Drosophila melanogaster: one gene and its partners. The protein of the gene in region 1 purifies or fractionates together with the protein of each later gene. This does not show direct contact. Each region holds a gene or a part of one and is shown in the gene's direction. Other genes may lie near its edges. The genes, in order: Sld5, Cdc45, dpa and Psf3.

Evidence for each region.
Region 2: the proteins of Sld5 (region 1) and Cdc45 purify together in Drosophila melanogaster (affinity purification with western blotting; 2 studies listed by BioGRID, with this or other methods). This does not show direct contact.
Region 3: the proteins of Sld5 (region 1) and dpa purify together in Drosophila melanogaster (affinity purification with western blotting; 2 studies listed by BioGRID, with this or other methods). This does not show direct contact.
Region 4: the proteins of Sld5 (region 1) and Psf3 purify together in Drosophila melanogaster (affinity purification with western blotting; 2 studies listed by BioGRID, with this or other methods). This does not show direct contact.

What each region holds. Positions count from the first base shown.
Region 1 is NT_033777.3:26,055,151-26,058,389, reverse strand, and holds Sld5 (Sld5), read left to right. Parts: upstream 1-1,842; 5' UTR 1,843-1,898; coding exon 1,899-2,009; intron 2,010-2,069; coding exon 2,070-2,523; intron 2,524-2,581; coding exon 2,582-2,703; 3' UTR 2,704-2,733; downstream 2,734-3,239. Other genes in the region: Tcs6 (Threonyl-carbamoyl synthesis 6), read left to right, coding at 203-237, 301-601; PIG-P (phosphatidylinositol glycan anchor biosynthesis class P), read left to right, coding at 567-1,043; CG14543 (uncharacterized protein), read right to left, coding at 1,082-1,543, 1,608-1,733; Cmpk (Cytidine/uridine monophosphate kinase 1), read left to right, coding at 3,054-3,239.
Region 2 is NC_004354.4:1,027,738-1,032,305, reverse strand, and holds Cdc45 (cell division cycle 45), read left to right. Parts: upstream 1-1,749; 5' UTR 1,750-1,978; coding exon 1,979-2,889; intron 2,890-2,941; coding exon 2,942-3,758; 3' UTR 3,759-4,015; downstream 4,016-4,568. Other genes in the region: CG14630 (uncharacterized protein), read right to left, coding at 196-782; Rpp21 (ribonuclease P/MRP subunit p21), read right to left, coding at 853-1,237, 1,297-1,463; CG3021 (uncharacterized protein), read right to left, coding at 4,156-4,568.
Region 3 is NT_033778.4:7,496,196-7,501,931, reverse strand, and holds dpa (disc proliferation abnormal), read left to right. Parts: upstream 1-1,786; 5' UTR 1,787-2,157; coding exon 2,158-2,230; intron 2,231-2,294; coding exon 2,295-2,605; intron 2,606-2,664; coding exon 2,665-3,593; intron 3,594-3,653; coding exon 3,654-4,025; intron 4,026-4,086; coding exon 4,087-4,453; intron 4,454-4,522; coding exon 4,523-4,975; intron 4,976-5,035; coding exon 5,036-5,131; 3' UTR 5,132-5,230; downstream 5,231-5,736. Other genes in the region: didum (dilute class unconventional myosin), read right to left, coding at 1-142, 208-1,021, 1,424-1,453; CG1620 (uncharacterized protein), read left to right, coding at 5,671-5,736. UniProt on the Drosophila melanogaster protein: Acts as a component of the Mcm2-7 complex (Mcm complex) which is the putative replicative helicase essential for 'once per cell cycle' DNA replication initiation and elongation in eukaryotic cells.
Region 4 is NC_004354.4:10,382,829-10,387,577, reverse strand, and holds Psf3 (partner of Sld five 3), read left to right. Parts: upstream 1-1,716; 5' UTR 1,717-2,524; coding exon 2,525-2,627; intron 2,628-2,695; coding exon 2,696-3,090; intron 3,091-3,151; coding exon 3,152-3,292; 3' UTR 3,293-4,225; downstream 4,226-4,749. Other genes in the region: flw (flapwing), read right to left, coding at 1,015-1,066.

The sequences.
Region 1 (3,239 bases):
TTCCCATTGTTATTAACTTCAAAAACTTAACAAGCGCTTAATTTAAAACATAAATGTGATTATGAAGAATGCTCATTTTTAAACATTTGAATTCTTCAATCAGCTGTTCACGAGATAAACAGCCGGTGAATGCTTCTTCTTCATAAATTGTCATTAACTTTCTCCGTTGACATGTGAGCATTTCAGATTGGTTAAAACTTTTATGATGCCACAAATTGCAAATAAACCAAATGAATCGTAAGTTTAACCATTTAACAAAGAAATAAACATAAATTTAGTAATAAATATTCGCCTCATTAGCATAATAAGAGTGCCGTTTGAGACGCCACGATTGGCCGAGATCGCCTACAAAGTCCTCGGTGTCGACCAGGAGCCGCGCCGGAATTTCGTGAAAAAAACTTTGAGCCTGGAGAACGATGTTCTGGTTGTGCACTTTCAGTCGGATCAAGTGAAGAGCCTGCGCACTGCCATCACCTCCTTCTTTGAGTGCCTGCTCCTGTGCCAGGACACCATCAACCAGTTCGGAGACTCCAAGAAAGAGAAACTAATCCCCGAGAGCAACGACAATGCCGGAACACACTCCAGCTCCGACTCCCCATAGGGCGGTCTATGGTTTCGCCTTCTATATGCTGTTCACGGTCCTCTTCCTCGTATACGTGACTTGGGCGCTGCTGCCAGTGGAGTTTGGTCTGCACTCGTATCTGCCGGACAAGTATTTTGCCGTATTTGTGCCTTTTCTGGTGCTGGTCTTCGCCTGGTTCTTTGCCTTCCTCATCTATCCTGCCATAAATCTATCGATGACAGTGGATGTTGATTCCATTGCCTCGGTGGTGGATCCAAAGCTGGCACTGCCCAAGGGGACAGAGTTCACCTCCTGGTCGCAGTTGCAAAAAGGCAAGGTCAGCCAGGATTCCGCATCAAAGAAGGCCTCTCCAGTGAACTGCAACCTGTGCAGGACTTTCCACCAACCTGTGACACGTGCACCTATTCCACCACTGCGTTTTCTGGACCTCCAGGAAGTAAATACAGCGTATTATAACTAAAAAACTAGCAGGTTTCTTTTTAATCATCCCGACGAAATTCATTTTCTTCGCACGGTGGTCCAGCCGTCTTCCGGTTCCACAAACTCCTCAGCCTGCTGCTTTCGTGCCTGCGATCGCGTCATCCGACCACTGCCGCTGGGAGTTTCCTCGTCGCCCTGGCCCATTTCATTATCGTCCTCCTCGTCGCTGTCGTCCATGTCCTCATCGGATGAGGAGTCCCCATCGATGGGTGTGTAGGTGATCTTAACATCCGGACGCAGCCACTCCTTGCCAGCAGGAAGTTTACTCAATTCAGCCTCTATTTGCGGAAACTGGTTCTGCTGGGCCATCAATTTGTAGCGCAGCAGATTCCGGCAGATCTCCGGAATGGAGTCGTCGTCGCAGAGGGTGTTAAACTCCTGGTCCATCAGCTCCTCCAGGACCTCCACCAGTTCGCCTTGCGTGATATTTTCGTTGGACACGCAGTACTGGTAGGTGTAGTCCATGATTTCTATGGCCACCTACAAAACGGACACTCCGATTAGGTTAGAAAAGAAGACGGTTTCAGGGTATACGAGCAACAACCTGTTGGCCATTGCGTCCGCCCATGCCATGCTCCACCGCCAGCCGGAGATCCTGCCAGTGATTGAAGATCTTCTCTACAATCACTCTAAAATTCTTTTGGAATTCAGTTTGTTGTGCGGCTGCCATCGCATGCTTTTGTGATATCGATAACGGTTAGACGTGCCATTCACACGGAGTAAAAACAAATGAAACAGTGATGAAAAACGTCAACTGTATTACTGGAGTGACATTCCCAACGATTCCCAAAATTTGCGCCAAAATCTGCAAAATAATAAACAAATAAATAAAACCATGTCGGATGTAGAAGACGTGCCCGAAACCCAGTTAGAAATCGATGTCAGCGATGGCGCCGGACTGGAGGATGAGGATGATGACGATATGGAACAGATTACAGCTCAGAAGGTAAGGTAAATCGTAACACAGCTTTTTAATACGCAAGTAATCACATTCTGATATCCCTAGGTTCTGGAAATCATAGAAACCGCGTGGATAAATGAAATGTGTGCGCCGGAGATCCTGCCCAGCCAGACGGACATGCTGGAGCTGATGGTCTCCCAGGTGGCCCACATGGAGGAGCAGATGCGCGATCTGGACAAGAACGATTTCCGAGCGGTGGTGCACTCCATGGAACTGGAGAGGGTGCGCTACATAATGGCCAGTTATCTGCGTTGCCGCCTGCAGAAGATCGAAACCTTCACGCAGCACATCCTCAACCAGGAGGAGAGCCGTGAGCCGGATGACAAACGTCTGTCTCCCGAGGAGACTAAGTTCGCCCAGGAGTTTGCCAGTAATGTGGATGAGTACTTCCACAAAGTAGCCACCCAGTACATGCCCAACCAGCAGAGAGGAGAGGCGGAGCAGAGGATTGTGACGCCCAATCTGATGAGCCATGTCTTTCTTAAGGCAAATGTGGCAGGTAATAACCTTTTGTCATCTAATTAAGATAACCGCTTAACTCTTGTTTTGCTTTCCAGTGCCCGCTGTGATCGTGGGCGTCGATGATGAGGAGGTGGACATGGCGGCCGGCTCCCAGCATATTATTCCCTACCAACTAGTGGCCGACTTGATACAAAACAACCAAGCGCAGCTAATTTAAAAGACTTATTTAGCAGGTAATATACATGATAATAAAAAAAATTAAAAATCAAACTCTGCAAAGCTGCATGTTTAAGGGTACATTTAAAAATGTTGTAGAAGAATATTTAAATTAAATTTAATTTATTTAATATCGAACCGGAAGTAAACTGCATAAAATGCCATTCAAATTGGTTCGCTTCCCGCTAAAGCCGGCGCCAGTGTTGCCGAACGGACGCCCGCGAACAGCTGCGCTTGTGCGTGACGTCACAGGGTGTTACGTTTCCAGTGGAAAACAGTGGTGAGGTGTACTGCAGGCGGCATACACATAAACCACGCATTCAATTTGCCTTCAGTTTGGTTCAGTCGTCAATGTGGCGGGCTTTGGCACGAACGACGTTGAGAGCAGTAGCCAACGATTGCGGTTCACCAGGAGTCGGTCTCGCACCATCAGCGCTGACGCAGCACCAATTGCGACATTCCAAGGCCAGCAATAGGTTCATCACCACCACCTCCACAGCCCCACCACACAATATCGGAATCATGAGCGTAGAGAAG
Region 2 (4,568 bases), on another chromosome or scaffold:
GTAAGTGGTAATCAAATCTTTATCATGAGTACAAATGGACACCTGGTTGAAAATATTTGCCTGATTCTGGCTGTAACAATCAACCGATAGTGATAATATTTAGTGGACTGATAGATAATACAGCTCTCGGCAAATGTGAGTTTTATGACCCTGGTACTGTACGATGAAGTATGTCATCTATTGGTTAATATTTACCCGTAGGTGGTGCGTTTTATGTAGCCAATTCGTTCGGCCAATTTCTTAGCCACATTTATGTCGTTGGGTGCCCCTTTCAGAATGGCGAATCCTTGGACTGCCAGTGCCTCAAGCCAAACTCTCAGGGCTGCATCTTGCTCCAGCACATCCTCGTATTGGAATTCTCTTTTCACATCCTCGAACTCCGTTTTTCCCCAGAGTTGAGCGGGTGGCTTGTAGACCTCCTCCAAGTAATGCTTTCTGCCAGTCTCTCCAAAGTCCCTTTCCCTCAGCCAGCCTAGATCGAAGGTGCTCCTGTGCTTGTCCTGCCAGATGATCTCCAACTGTTTCCTCTCCTTGTTGTAGGCCACTTGGGACACTGGTATATTCAGCGGGCCACGATCCCAGTGACTTTTTCTTGCTCTTGTGGCGGCGTGGAAGCACTCGGCACACTGACAGTTGTCCCTAAGCCAAACTTGGGGGTACTTCAGGAGATTGCCCTGCTCCTCCTGGACTTCTACATAGTCGGGGCATAGTCGCACACAAGCAAATGTGCTCGCCTGCCGAAGAAGGCTCAGCCGAGAAATAAGTTGCCTACAGCTAAGCATTCCAGGCTCAACTGCCGAGCAATCAGGTGATGGCACAACAGGCAGGCTGGCTGATAAGCAAAGCTTCAGCTTATCGCTCGTCTTTCTCTTTGGGGAGCGAGACCACTTGCACTATGGATTGCGGCTGCTCCAACCAGCAGTCTCTTTGACTGTTCGCCGCAAAGCTTCGCCGGCCGCAGCAGAGTGAGCACTCTAAGAAAAAAGAGACCTGTTCAGTACTTTCTTGGATTTGCTCCTCGGATTCCTCCTGGTTGGTGTTCCCTGTTTTCCGGCTTCTGGGCTTCTTGCGCTGCCTGCGATGGCGCTTTTTCTTCGTTTTGACTGCTCCGTTCGATTGAGCTTGTGCATCAGTCTTGGCCTCCTGTGCTCCTTCCTCCACATGCAGCTCCGTATTCACTCCGGGAATCAGGGGAAGGAAACAGCGCCTGCACAGGGAACGCTTCACGGCCGGGGCCCTTGAAACCAGTTGACGCCATGAATTATTTGCCCATACTCCACTGGAGAAGCCACTTACATGTGCATGATAGCCTTGGTGCCCACATTGCGGCAGAGTTTGCCATAATAGGCGGCCAATTTTGGTTGATTGCCTACTGCCATTAAATTCGAGGCCTGGAACAGGTAGTTCATGCGTGAGGAGATGGCCCGCTGGGTCAGGTGCTTCATCTTGTTGTCCCTGCTCATATTCTGAGGCTTTTGTCGCACAAAGCTGGTCGACTGGTAGACTTTCGTTTTTGTGGCAATTCAAAACACATGGGCGTCGCGGTGTGACCGTATCTGGAGCGCCAAGATATTGCTCCTACTGCAATAGCAGCAACTGCAAAGAGCTCTCAAAATTCAACATTATGTGATTATAATTTCGGTTTTTGGCAGCTCAAAATTTCTGGAAATTCGCAGAATATTCTTTTCCCAGCAACGATTGTATTTCCGCGCCATTCCATTATTTCACACTGGTCACACTGGCTAAGCCAGCTGTTTCCCGCGTTTTTGATTCGCCAATTGCGATTGCCAGAAAAGCAAAAGTGGAGCGGCAGTGGGAAGCTGGAAAATAGCGCAAGCCGCAGGGAAACCCTCAAAATGCAACGCACTGCACTCATGTAGAATTCTACTTTGCATCGTAAGCGATTGGAAAGAGACCGTTGTGTCTAGACGTAGACAGATTAGGCAGACGATTGGGATTCCCGCCAGAAGTGTTCACCATGTTTGTCCAGGATCTGCGCAACGACTTTTACCGCCAGCTGGTTGGCAAGCGCATCTTGATCGTGGTCAACTACGACATCGATGCCATCTGCGCCAGTCGCATCCTGCAGGCCTTGTTCAAGTACGATCACATGCTGTACACCGTGGTGCCCATAATGGGCGTTACGGGTCTGAAGCGGGCCTATGGAGAGCACCAGGGCGACGTTAAGTACGTGGTGTTGGTGAACTGCGGCGGCTGTGTAGATATTGTGGAGCTCCTGCAGCCGTCGGACGACGTGACCTTCTTCATATGCGATTCACATCGCCCGTTGGATGTGTGTAACATCTACAGCGATCGGCAGGTGTGCATCTTGGGGGATGCCTCCTTGGAGGAGAATATTCCAGCGTTCGAGACAATTTTCTATGACTCTGAAGGTGAAGACGAGGATGAGGACGAGTCCTCTGACACGGAACAGCAGCACGACGACAGTGGTGCCGGGGAATCGGACCAGGAGGATCAGGCGCCAAGGAGCCGTAAGCTCAGTCGCCTGGAGCGGCACGAGCAACGCATCCTGAAGCAGCGAGCCCGCCGACAGTGGGAGTCTGAGCGCGACAGGATTATGTTCGAGTACACGCAGTTCAGCTACTACGGCAGGTCCGCCGCTTTGATGGTTTTTGAGTTGGCCTGGAAGCTCTCAAAAGACAACATGGACCTGCTCTGGTGGGCCATTGTGGGCATCACGGAGCAGCTGCTGCTGGGCAAGATCGAGAGTGGAGCGTATACTTTGGAGCTGGAGCAAATCCAGTCGCATGTGTCCCGACTGACGAACAAAACGAATGATCAGAACACGATGAGTGCCTCCAAGATAACCTTCGAGAATGATTTGCATCTGGTCTTGTACCGCCACTGGCCCGTCACGGAATCCATGAGGTGAGCATTGACAGTGTATTCTATGCCATTTAATCATGTAGTATAATCGTAGGTATTCCCGCTACTCCTCATGCCAGCTGAAGCTGTGGACACTGCGCGGAGAGAAGAGATTACACGAGCTGCTGCTCGAGATGGGACTTCCCTTGGTGCACGCCCGCCAAACGTACGGAGCCATGGATTTGGTGTTGCGCAAGGAGTTCTTCTCGATGGTGGAGCGCCTGGCGGAGAAGTACGACATAGCGGACATAGTTTACGGCACCTTTACGCTGAGCTACGGCTACCGCAGCAGATATGCTGCGGCGGACTACGTTTATGCCCTGCTCGCCATCATGGAGTCCGTGAAGAAGCACAAGACTCCGGAGGATTGCTTTCTGGAGGCCTCGGATGCTTTGAGTCGTCAGCACAAGCAGCTGCTGTCTGCAGGCATCGACCAGGCGAAGCTTTTGCATGCTGCTGTCTTTCGGCAGGTGCAGAGCAGCTTGGAGGCACGCCAAGTTCATTCAGCGGGCTCCTTTTTCTACTACGTTCTGCAGGAGGAACACGCGTTCTTCTCATACCCCTATGCCCTTGGACTGTTGGCTCGCTTTCTTTTGCGCGGACATGTGGCCACGAGTAGAGCCAGGCAGGCTTCGGACTTGCCGTTGATCGCAAGTTGTCCCCTGAACGCTTCGGAGGGCATGTGCTTGCTGGTAGGCATTGTCCCGGTAAGGGAAGACTCTCCGCGAAACTTCTTTGGCAAGGCCTTCGAGCAGGCGGCGCAAAAGAGTGGAGTCGCTCTATTGCAGGACTTTTTCGAGCCAGCGGTGGTGCAGCTGCGGCAGAGCGACCTCACACGCTTTCTGGACTCCCTCACGGTGCTGTTAGCCTAATCCACGCCGCTTTCTATTCTACCTGCTACCGACACATCCCTGCTCAATCATATTATGTGCTAAGCTAGTTTTATATCGCGAGACCTCACGTGTACACTTAGTTTAAGATTTTACCAAACCCTATTTATGTACGATTGTGTGTTAATAACTTTATCATTGCTCCCAGGACCACAAAATGCAAAATGTCCTTTTTCAAAAACTAATTGTAAATTTGACCTAGAATAATAAATTTAAATTAAAGTGTTTACCATGGAATTAAAAGTGTCGATTCACGTCTAAAATTTACTCGGCGCTTAAATTTATGAAAACGTATTTACCATGCTATCTATACATGCCGTGTTGGCAGTTGGACTGCCTTCTTACATTTGGTTTATTTTCTGGCTCAGAGGAAACATCATTAGCTAACCAGATTTGCGGCTTGAGCTTGCTGCGTCTGTGCGTTTTTTTTCTTTAGGGGATTAGCGCTGAGGATGCGGGCCGAACCCAAACAAGCTGTGTCGTCATAGAATACGGCATATTGTCCTGGTGTAATAGCTCTTAAAGGAGCGTCCAACTCGACAAGAAAAGTGTTACTGGGAGAGATGCTCAGCTGACAGTCCACCAATGGTTTGGTGTGCTGGAATCGAAAGCGACACCTCAAGCTGCCAGTGTCCGAAAGAATCTGTTGGGACTTGGAACACAGCCAGTTGGGCGGATCGACGGCTATGTGGGTGCTGAGAAGGGCGGGATGGTTGTGGCCAGATGCCACATAGATGGTATTGCTTGCGGCCTCTTTCCTGGCCACAAAATAGGGCTGAAGGAATGAGCTCA
Region 3 (5,736 bases), on another chromosome or scaffold:
TTTACGATATCAGCGATCTGTTGAATGGAGAAGCCCAGAACTGTCATGGCCTGCACGGTTTCGTTAAACTGCTCCGCATCCGAAACTCGTTCAATTTCAGGAGCGCCACCCATGTTCAGAAACTGGAATTTGTCCTGGTGATCTTTGAGAGAATGGAAATATTACTTCATTTTCTAAGCTGAAATAGGAGGGAGCTTCCAGACATACCCAGCACCAGTTCAGGGTACTTCGATCGCGCCGCGCACAGCTGATAGAATATGTGATAGTTGCGCTCTCCCTGGGCCTGGTACACCACACGTGACTTCTCCAGTAGGTAGGTGTGCATAGTGGCTCCCTGCAGGAACATCACACCCATCTGGTTCCGGAACAGCAGCTTGGTAAACTTTCCAAAGCGGGAACTGTTGTCATTCCGGGTCGTCTTGGCATTTCCGAAGGCTTCCATGATCGGCGAAGATGCCAGCACCTTGCGTTCGACCTGGGTCTCCGACTCGGAACCTCCAACAGCGGCAAAGTACCTCATGGCGTATTTGGCGGACACCGTCTTGCCCGCACCCGACTCCCCACTGACGATGATGCTCAGGTTGCAGTTCTCGCGCTCCAGTTTCGTGTACGCCTCCTCCGCCAGGGCAAAGATGTGCGGCTCCAGATCACCCATAGCATGACCCCGATACGCTCGGATTATGCTGGGCCCGTAAAGAGGCATCTCCGCGTACGGGTTGATGGCCACCAGAATGATGCCGCAGTAGGTGTAGATAATCTGGCGCTCGCAGAAGCGGACACGCAGATTGTGCAACACCCCCGGCTCATGCAGGTAGGACAGGGTGGTCAAGTCGTTCTGTCCCACCAGAATGGCCGGATTGCGCAGTGGAGGCAGATCGCTGCCATCGGCCTTTAGCTTGACCTCTTTCAGTTTTCCGGAGTCCGTACATATCTTCAAGAAGCCGGCGCCCTTGCGGTAGCTCTCCTCCAAGGTGGCGCTCTCCCACACCAGATCCGCATGGGGCACCCAGATCTTGGCGCCCTGCGAAAGAAGTGAGCCGAATTAACAAGTTTTATGAATGGGAGTTATGCCCGATCCCCTCTAGAGACGTCACCCGACCTGGTGTCTTATCAATCGAGCTTATCACACAACCCATTCCCCTGTCGATAAGACACCCGCGAATATTGTATGTAGATGAATCATTTTTAAACATTTCGGGTGCTGCGATGCAGTCATCAATGGCTAATCACCTGCCATGGGAACAAATCAGGGCCAAGAACTGTCGAATGGCCTGCACACACACACACACACACACACACACTTCGGACGGGGGAAATCACGTTATGGGTGCGATTTTATATTGGCACCATTTGCAGACGACACCGACACCGCCGCAATCTGCCACGATGCACTTGTAGGGCATCAATATATACTGTGCAATACCTGCGCGTATAGCATCTCCTCGCTAGACATGGTTCCACTGGCTCCTCCTCCTACTCCAGGTTCCGCTTCGCGCTCCTTCTTTCTCTCCTCTCCTTCTTCCTACTCCGCGTGGGAGTGAGTTGGGTGCATAAATCCCGTTAGGTTTAATTTCCTTGGTGGTACGTTTTTTTTCTGGCTCTGACAGCCTATTTAAATTACCATTTTCGTGGTCTTTTTTTGGGTTTATGTAAATGTACTGTCCTAAATTACTTAAAATTAGCCAGGAATAATTTATAAAAACATTGATAATTTTTAGATCGCAACGCCAAAGTGTGAGAAAAACAAACAAACTTCCGTCCCTGTCACCGCCTGACTGACTGACTTATGTTTTGTTGTTGGCAAAAGGGCAGGGTTGCCAAAGGGCGTGCAGTTTGGGCCAAATTAGAAATGTGTGGTTCTAACCATGGATTAAATTTGAACAAAGTAAAATATCTTGCAAAAAGATTTGTATAATGCCACAGTAACTGAATTTTTTCTTGCAAAACACCCCAGAAAGCACCAATTATTTGGCGCGCAATGCTCTGCAGTTAGATTTTCAGCACTGCTCAACTCACCCATTGGTATTCTTCAACACTGCAACAGTTATTTTCCCGCCAATTTTTAGCTGGTCTGTCCCACCGCATCGTTTTTTGTTTCACAACAGCTACAGTTTTCGCCCAGGACGCACGGGTTAAATAAATATCTTCTCTAAGGAAATGTCAAGCCCCGCTCGTTCGCCCAGTGTTGGAGGTGCGACGCCCAAACAAGGCGCCCGCACACCCACTAGAGGTGAGTATCGACGTGCCACAAAAAGTGTGTTCTGTTTGCAAAGCAAGCGTCTGTCTGCTTACAGGCATTGCGTCGCAAGATGTGGAGACACCCATGCGCATGGGTCCCGGGAGGGCTGTCCGGCCCTCGGACAACATCAGTTTGCCGCCCACCTCGCCGGGAAACATCAGCTTGCCAGCCACCAGTCCGGCTCGAGGATTGGGTGCGAACATGAGCGAGATCGATCTGAGTTCGCCGCTGAACTACGGCACCCCCAGCTCGATGGGGTCCATTCGAACCCCTCGTTCCGGAATTAGAGGCACTCCGCTGCGGGCGCGGCCCGATATAAGAACGGACAAGCGCATCCGCCAGGTGGCCATCGGTGGGGGCTCTGGGGTAAGTGTACGCTGGCAACTCATTTTGGGACTTTCAAATTAGTTTAGTCGCTTTTACAGCTCGAACCAATTCCTGAGAAGGGCTCTGAAACCACCGATCCTGTATCGGAATCTTCGCAAGCACCTCAGCTCGTCGTCTGGGGAACCAATGTTGTTGTCAGCCAGTGCAAATCCAAGTTCAAGTCGTTTATTATGCGCTTTATTGACCCCAGTGCCGAGCAGGACGAAATCTCCGAGAATATTGATGTTAACCAGCCACTGTATCTTCAGAAGCTGGAGGAGATTCACACATTGGAGGAGCCCTATCTGAATCTCAACTGTGCCCATCTCAAGACCTTTGATCAGGACTTGTACCGCCAGTTGATCTGCTATCCGCAGGAGGTTATTCCTGGCTTTGATATGGCCATAAACGAGATGTTCTTTGAGCGTTATCCTGCCGCTCTTCTGGAACACCAGATTCAAGTGCGCCCCTTCAACGCGGACAAGACACGCAACATGCGATCCCTAAATCCCGAGGATATGGACCAGTTGATCAGCATTAGTGGCATGGTCATTCGCTCGTCGAACGTCATTCCCGAGATGCGCGAAGCCTTTTTCAGTTGCAACATCTGTTCCTTCAGCACAACCGTCGAGGTGGACCGCGGTCGCATTAACCAGCCCACGCTCTGCACCAACTGCAACACGAACCACTGCTTCCGTTTAATCCACAATCGATCGGAGTTTACGGATAAGCAGCTTGTCAAACTTCAGGAGTCTCCAGATGACATGGCGGCGGGACAGACTCCGCATAATGTGCTTTTGTATGCTCACAACGATCTGGTGGACAAGGTGCAGCCTGGTGATCGCGTCACGGTCACAGGCATCTATCGGGCGACGCCACTGAAGACTGGAGGCCTCAGTTCGTCGGTAAAAAGTGTGTATAAGACGCACGTGGATGTGGTTCACTTCCGGAAGGTGGACAACAAGCGACTGTACGAGGATGAGGAGGGGTAAGTCTTGCATTTTATTACTGGTTAGAATAAAATTTGATAATTTTAATTACCTACCAGTAAGGATCACATCTTCCCGCCAGAACGCGTTGAGCTGCTACAATTGCTGGCCAAGAAACCGGACATCTACGACCGCTTGGCCAGGGCCATTGCCCCATCTATTTACGAGAACGACGACATCAAGAAAGGCATCTTGCTGCAGCTCTTTGGTGGCACCAAGAAGAAGCATGCAACTCTCGGCCGCCAGAATTTCAGATCGGAAATTCACCTGCTGTTATGCGGTGATCCGGGTACTTCCAAGTCCCAGATGCTGCAGTACGTCTTCAACCTCGTGCCAAGATCACAGTACACCTCCGGTCGCGGTTCTTCGGCCGTCGGTTTGACTGCCTATGTGACCAAAGATCCGGAGACTCGCCAGCTGGTTCTGCAAACGTAAATCTAAAAGCTTGAATCAGATTCGAATTTAGGTTGTAATCTTATGGCTTGTTTTCAGAGGTGCACTGGTTTTGGCCGATAATGGAGTTTGCTGCATTGACGAGTTTGACAAGATGAACGACTCGACACGCAGTGTGCTGCACGAGGTGATGGAGCAGCAGACACTGAGTATTGCCAAGGCGGGAATCATCTGTCAGCTAAACGCGAGGACCTCGATTCTTGCTGCCGCCAATCCCGCCGAGTCTCAGTGGAATAAGCGCAAGAACATCATTGATAACGTCCAGCTTCCGCACACCCTGTTGTCCCGCTTCGACCTAATCTTTCTGGTCCTGGATCCCCAGGATGAGATCTTTGACAAGCGACTGGCCAGCCATTTGGTATCTTTGTACTATGTGACGCGTCATGAGGAGGAGGATACCATGTTTGTAAGTAGCTTGGATCAATTGTTGGTATTTCTCCGGAATATCTCTGTAACATATTCAATCAATTTTCAGGACATGAGCGTCCTGCGCGACTACATCGCCTATGCCCGCGAACATCTGTCGCCTACGTTGTCGGATGAAGCGCAACAACGACTCATTCAGGCCTACGTGGACATGCGAAAGGTGGGCGCCGGTCGTGGCCAGATCTCTGCTTACCCGCGCCAGCTGGAGAGTCTCATCCGACTGTCGGAGGCGCACGCCAAGGTGCGTCTCAGCAACCAGGTGGAATTGCTGGACGTGGAGGAGGCTTGGCGGCTTCATCGCGAGGCTCTCAAGCAGTCGGCCACGGATCCCCTGTCCGGCAAAATTGACGTGGGCATTCTCACCACCGGCTTATCAACAGCCGCTCGCAAAAAGCGCGCCGATCTGGTGGCAGCCATCAAGGAAAACCTCAAGAAGAAGGGCAAAGTTCTCACAGTTCCCTATCAGAAACTGTTTAGCGATATTAAGGAAGGATCCCAAATTGTAAGTGCTAATATAATATATTTATAATATAAAATCAATGTAAACGATAATTTATTGCAGATGATCACACGCGAGCAATTTGAAGATGCCCTGAAGGAGGTGCAAGATGAGGGCGCAATTGTTGTCATGGGAAAGAACACCATTCGTATTTGTTAATTTTATTACATTTATCTCATTCAAAACCAACCGCAAATTCATTCATTCCTATTTTTAAGCGCAACTACAAAAATGTTTTCAATAAAAAAATTTCAAATTATTCGTTTCTGTTTTATCAACTAATATGTAAAGAAAAATTGCACATAATTAAATTATTTGGAAAGTTTATATATTGCGGTAGAAAAATAATTGATTGATATTTGAATATAATTTTTTTATTTTTCGAGCAGCTTATAATGTAAAATATATGGACATGTCAACGTGGAAAATGTTGTCAAGCTTGCTAAAATATTGATAAAGTGATTTATACATAAGAAGAGCACATATCACTTAAATTTGAAAAGGCAGAAAAACTGAATCTTAAAATTCGTGTAATTAAGCATTACTTTGGAAAGCCAAACAAAAACAAATTTCGAATATATAGGAGTACCCCAACTAAAAAAGGAATATCCCAGTTAGTGCCGTTTTTTAGCGCATTTGCGCAGGCGAAGTGCAGATATTTTGGCGCTCTGGCTGCTGCCACACTGTGTGTACGGAAAATGATGGAGTTCGGGAAATCGTCGGATCACTCCCAGCACAGCGCTTCCGAGGCGTCGGCGGACTCC
Region 4 (4,749 bases), on another chromosome or scaffold:
TCTTCGACATTGGCTGACACTTGCAAAACGAGACAAGCACTAAGCGGCTTAAGCAACCCTCGCAGATGTTGGGTTTTCACCAGGGCAAAGGCATATCGCATTCGAAACCTAGAAGAGGTTGCAAAAATGTAAACTATTTAGCGCTTTTACGCTTTGCAGGAAGGTTGCATGATGACGACGATGACACAGCCCCCACCACCCATTCTAAGCCACATACAGTGGATATCGGCTATAGCGGTCGATACCCAGTAAAAATTATATTGATATTGATCGCTGGATAAAAATATCTTCTTGGGGGCTAGGAAATATAGGATATATCGGTCGTAGATTTCTCAACCGTCTTTAGCGATAGTTGCGTGACACGAACAGCGATCCCACTCCAACGGGCAGTGGGGTTACTTGCGACAAAGCTCCTTATCGAGTAACTCATGTGATTCCGTTCCATTCCTTCGTCGGCGATTTCATAGCTACACATTCTGTTTGAATCACGCCCGTGTTTATCAGCTCGATGACGTCATTGCCAATATAGGCGAAACAAGAAAAAACACAGCTAATAAACCAAAAATCATTTGGGAGACATTAGCGCAGGACAGAGATGGCGTGCTTAACAGCGCGATCACTGTTAGTATTATGTAAACGCTAATGAGCGTAGCGTAGATGCTGTCGCTGTTGTTGTTGTTGTTTTTATGGTTTTTGCTGTTTTTCAAGAGGAGCAATGAAAATCAATTAAAACTAATTGATTCAAGAGTCAAATTCAAACGGTTGCAGCGGCAGCAGCGGTGGCGGCGGCGGCGGTAGAGAGAGGGGCTGTCGCAACAACAAAAAGAAAACCTACTACCATTTAAGCGAACAATGTGCAATAATTAGAAAATGCAATCGCACACACACACACACGCAGATAAACTGTGTAATAAATTAAAATGGGGACAGTGGCGTGGGAGGGGCGTAGAGGGTTTGGGGGGGAGGTTTTGGGAAAGTAGGATTGAAAGAGGGGGAAATTTCGCATCTACTTACTCTCCAGCAGCCGCTGTATCAAGCTGTCCACATTCAGATCGAAGTCGCCCATTTTTCAGCAGCTAAATTGTTCTTCTATTGGCCGCGTTTTGTTGTTGTGGCCAGCTGTTCCAGAATTCCGATTGGAATTTTTGGCGCAACAACTACACGCACGCACACACAAGCACACACACACGCACAGCGACGCCCGTTAGCTTATAAACTTGTATTGTATGCTATTGTAAACAATAAACTTTGTTTAATTCAAATAGTCGTTATATTCTTTTCTCTTTTTTGGTCGTTTTCTTACTTGCCGCAAAAGGCAATTTCACTTTATGCTCTCTTTTTTTCTTATTGAGATTTTGTACGGTGGGCCGCTGATGTTCACTGATGTTGCACGAGGGGCAAGAACAGAAAAAAAAATATATAGACGCACGGCTGATCGACTTTCGGGATCGCAAATCGATCAAGGAATATATAAAATATATATATCTATATAGATGTGTTAGATCTCTGCAGGGGGAGAGGAGCTGAGAAATCGGCTTAACTGAGAATTTATAAACCAGCGTAATCTTTTCTCCGCCAATAACAAAACTCGTCGGACAGCTAGCTGAGTATGACCGTTTGCCGGAAGGCTGAAAAAGTTTTTGGTGGCGGCGGCTTTACAGTTCGACTTTATCGATAGTCCGATGGGCAACGAAGCCAGCCAGTGCTCAGCAACGCGGGAGTTAACTGTCAAAGTCCTTTTTCGCACTTCAACGCTCGTGCCTTCAAACTTCTTACTGTGAACTCAAATCTCGACCGAACAAGTTGTGTGCTCCCTATGATTTCGTTATTAACTGATATTAACTACACACACATTTCTCTAATCCTTGCACACACATAGCTAAATCGAAATGGCTCTTTCGACCATCTGTCCGTTCCTCGTCGCCAACAAGAAAAACTCGAAGCACGCGGCTTTGCTATTTTTGATCTCAAGTGGATTGATGATTTTTAATATGGGCGACTTTATCGACGACTTGATGATCATACGGCTAGATTAAGATCAATTGTTCGAAATTGAAGTCAAAATAGTCATTGCCGGGAACGAAACCTTTATTTTTATTTGTTTTTGAAAGATGCAGATAAGCCTAAGAACTTGCGGAAGAAGTAACCATCTAATTGCAATCGTATCGAATTACTATTACTAAGCTGAGTTCACATGTTCCACATCATTTACAACTTTGAGTAATTATACCCTGACTAGTAATTTTATGTATAAAAAAATGTCAAGTGCAGGCTGCAATTTAAAATTCGCGCTGAAATAAGAGTAATTTTCCGGAAAAACTATTTACATATAATACATATAAATGCTTCGATATATATAGTACATAAAACCTATCGAGTGCCTCGGCATCCAGGCAAACAGCTGTTTCTGCCTCGATAGACCCCGGCAAAATGCATCTAATATCGATAGGCGATAGGTCGCGCACTTAAGAAATTGAATTTACCTAAAGTAAACACCAAACGAATCATAAAGCTGGGCCGCGCAATGAACGGAATGAACTATTTTCCGAACTATTACTCCATCGAGGACATATTCGTGACCCAGGAGAAGGTGGAATGTCGGGTGAACACCAAGCTGCAGCGGATGGGTAAGTGATTGGCTTGGACGGACACGCACATTCTGGCCAGTAATCCGACAATATTGAGTTGCTTGCAGGATTCCTGGACTCCGGCGCGGAATCGGATGACCTGGAGCCCGGCAGGACGGTCAATCTGCCGTTGTGGTACATCAAGGAGCTGAAGGTAAACAATGCCTACTTCACCGTCGCCGTGCCAGATATCTATCGCAATGTGCATAAGGCCGTCTGCGAGGCGGAGACCACGCACATCGAGCTGGGACGCCTGCACCCGTACTTCTACGAGTTCGGTCGCTATCTGACGCCCTACGATCGCAACCATGTCATCGGCCGCATCATCTTCGAAACGCTGCGCCAGAGGGTACGTCATCTCCTGGACATCTCGAAGAGCGACGGACAGGCAGCCAAGGCGGAGCATCGACTGGATAACATCGAGGCCAAGCTGCACGAGGCTGGAGTGCGCACCAACAGTCAGGTGGGTGGCTGTACTACCAGTCAAGTGGGCACGGAGTGTTATATTAATCACATAATTTCAGTACATCGAATGGCTGCAGATGACGGGCAACAAGATTCGCACCTCGGAGCTGGTCGAGGAGCACCAAAAGAAGCGGCGACGTGCGGATCGCAGCGATGACGAGGGCGATGCTCTGCCCAACAGCAAGCGGGCCACCTTGTAACAAGCAGAGTAAAACAACAAAAACAGACCACTGATGTACTGTGGAACTGTAGCAACTTTATTTCGTCCATTCGTTCGGTGGCCATAGGGCAGCCTGACCTCTCAAAAATACACTTTTCATCTACTCTATGCACACGGCTAAATCCATTTGTACAGTTCAAAATACATGGGTTTCGCATACATCTACGCATAACTAAGCATCCAATCCGGGACCGGTCTTAAACAAAACACATAGGAGCTGCCGTTCTGCGTTTTTCATTGACTTGGCAATAAGCCAAAGCGATGTTGCGCCACATTGTTACATATAAATAGTTAACTACATATATAATTATATTCTTGTAAGCTCAATTAAAATTTGATTTTGTGCTAGTTTCACATACAGTTCACAAATAAACATATACACCAATGTCCAGCGTACATAGGTAGTTCGTTTAAAAGCAACCAATATAGGACTTCTATTTCAGGGACCGTAATGCTTATAAGTCTGGATTGTGCTATTTGTTTATTTTGGAAGAGTTTTCAATGGTATAATGTAATGAACTAAGCAAGTTAGGCTAAAGCGCACAAAGTAGGCCAATATACATATATATTATACTCGTAGGTGGAAAATGTAACAAATGTGTTTTTTTTTTCATTTCTTTGATAACCTAATAAAGATAATCTAGTAAAACAAATCAATATCAAATTGTCTGAACATCAGAAGCTTCGCAAAATGAGCATATCGAAATATATCAAACAAGTTTACAGCATTTGAATTTAAACGATAAGATAAAGAAGATACTAATGTAGCACAATTAAAATTCTGATTACTAATATTCTTGTGTCTTGTAAAATATCGTGATATGCAATTCAGAAAATATATATACATCGTTTTCCACTTGACCATATTCTCTACATAGATGGCCGAAAAATGATCTACGGTCCCCGGTTATCTGGTATCTATATATATATCCTTGGTGACTTTCACAATATTAATATATATATATATATGTATATGTATATTAATATATGCACATCGAACATTCCTAGCTGTGCATCTGGCCAATTTCTTTTGGCTTTCATATGCTATGCTCAGTTATCCTTCTTCCGCATTTGCATTTGCAATATATATATTACTAACAGGTTATGGTATTAACACAAGCATTCATTCCCCTCGACAATTTTTCGGGGCGGTTAACAACATCGATTTCGTGGATATAGCGGAAATTGAATGCAACATTAATTCGTTAATGGTTAGGGGCTTGCTTCAAAAAATAAGCAACATAGTTTATTCGCTTTATCTGCATTTGGTTTTAGTTTTGTTCTTGTTCTTAGTTCTTCACTTTCATCTTTATCGTTCTTTTTTTTGTTTTTTTTTTAGTAAATAATGTCTTTATTTAACACTAAGGGTCTGTCCATGGTCTTCGGTTCATTTGTAGGTCGCCATCGTTTCCGCTGCCTTTTTCATCCTCCGTCCGT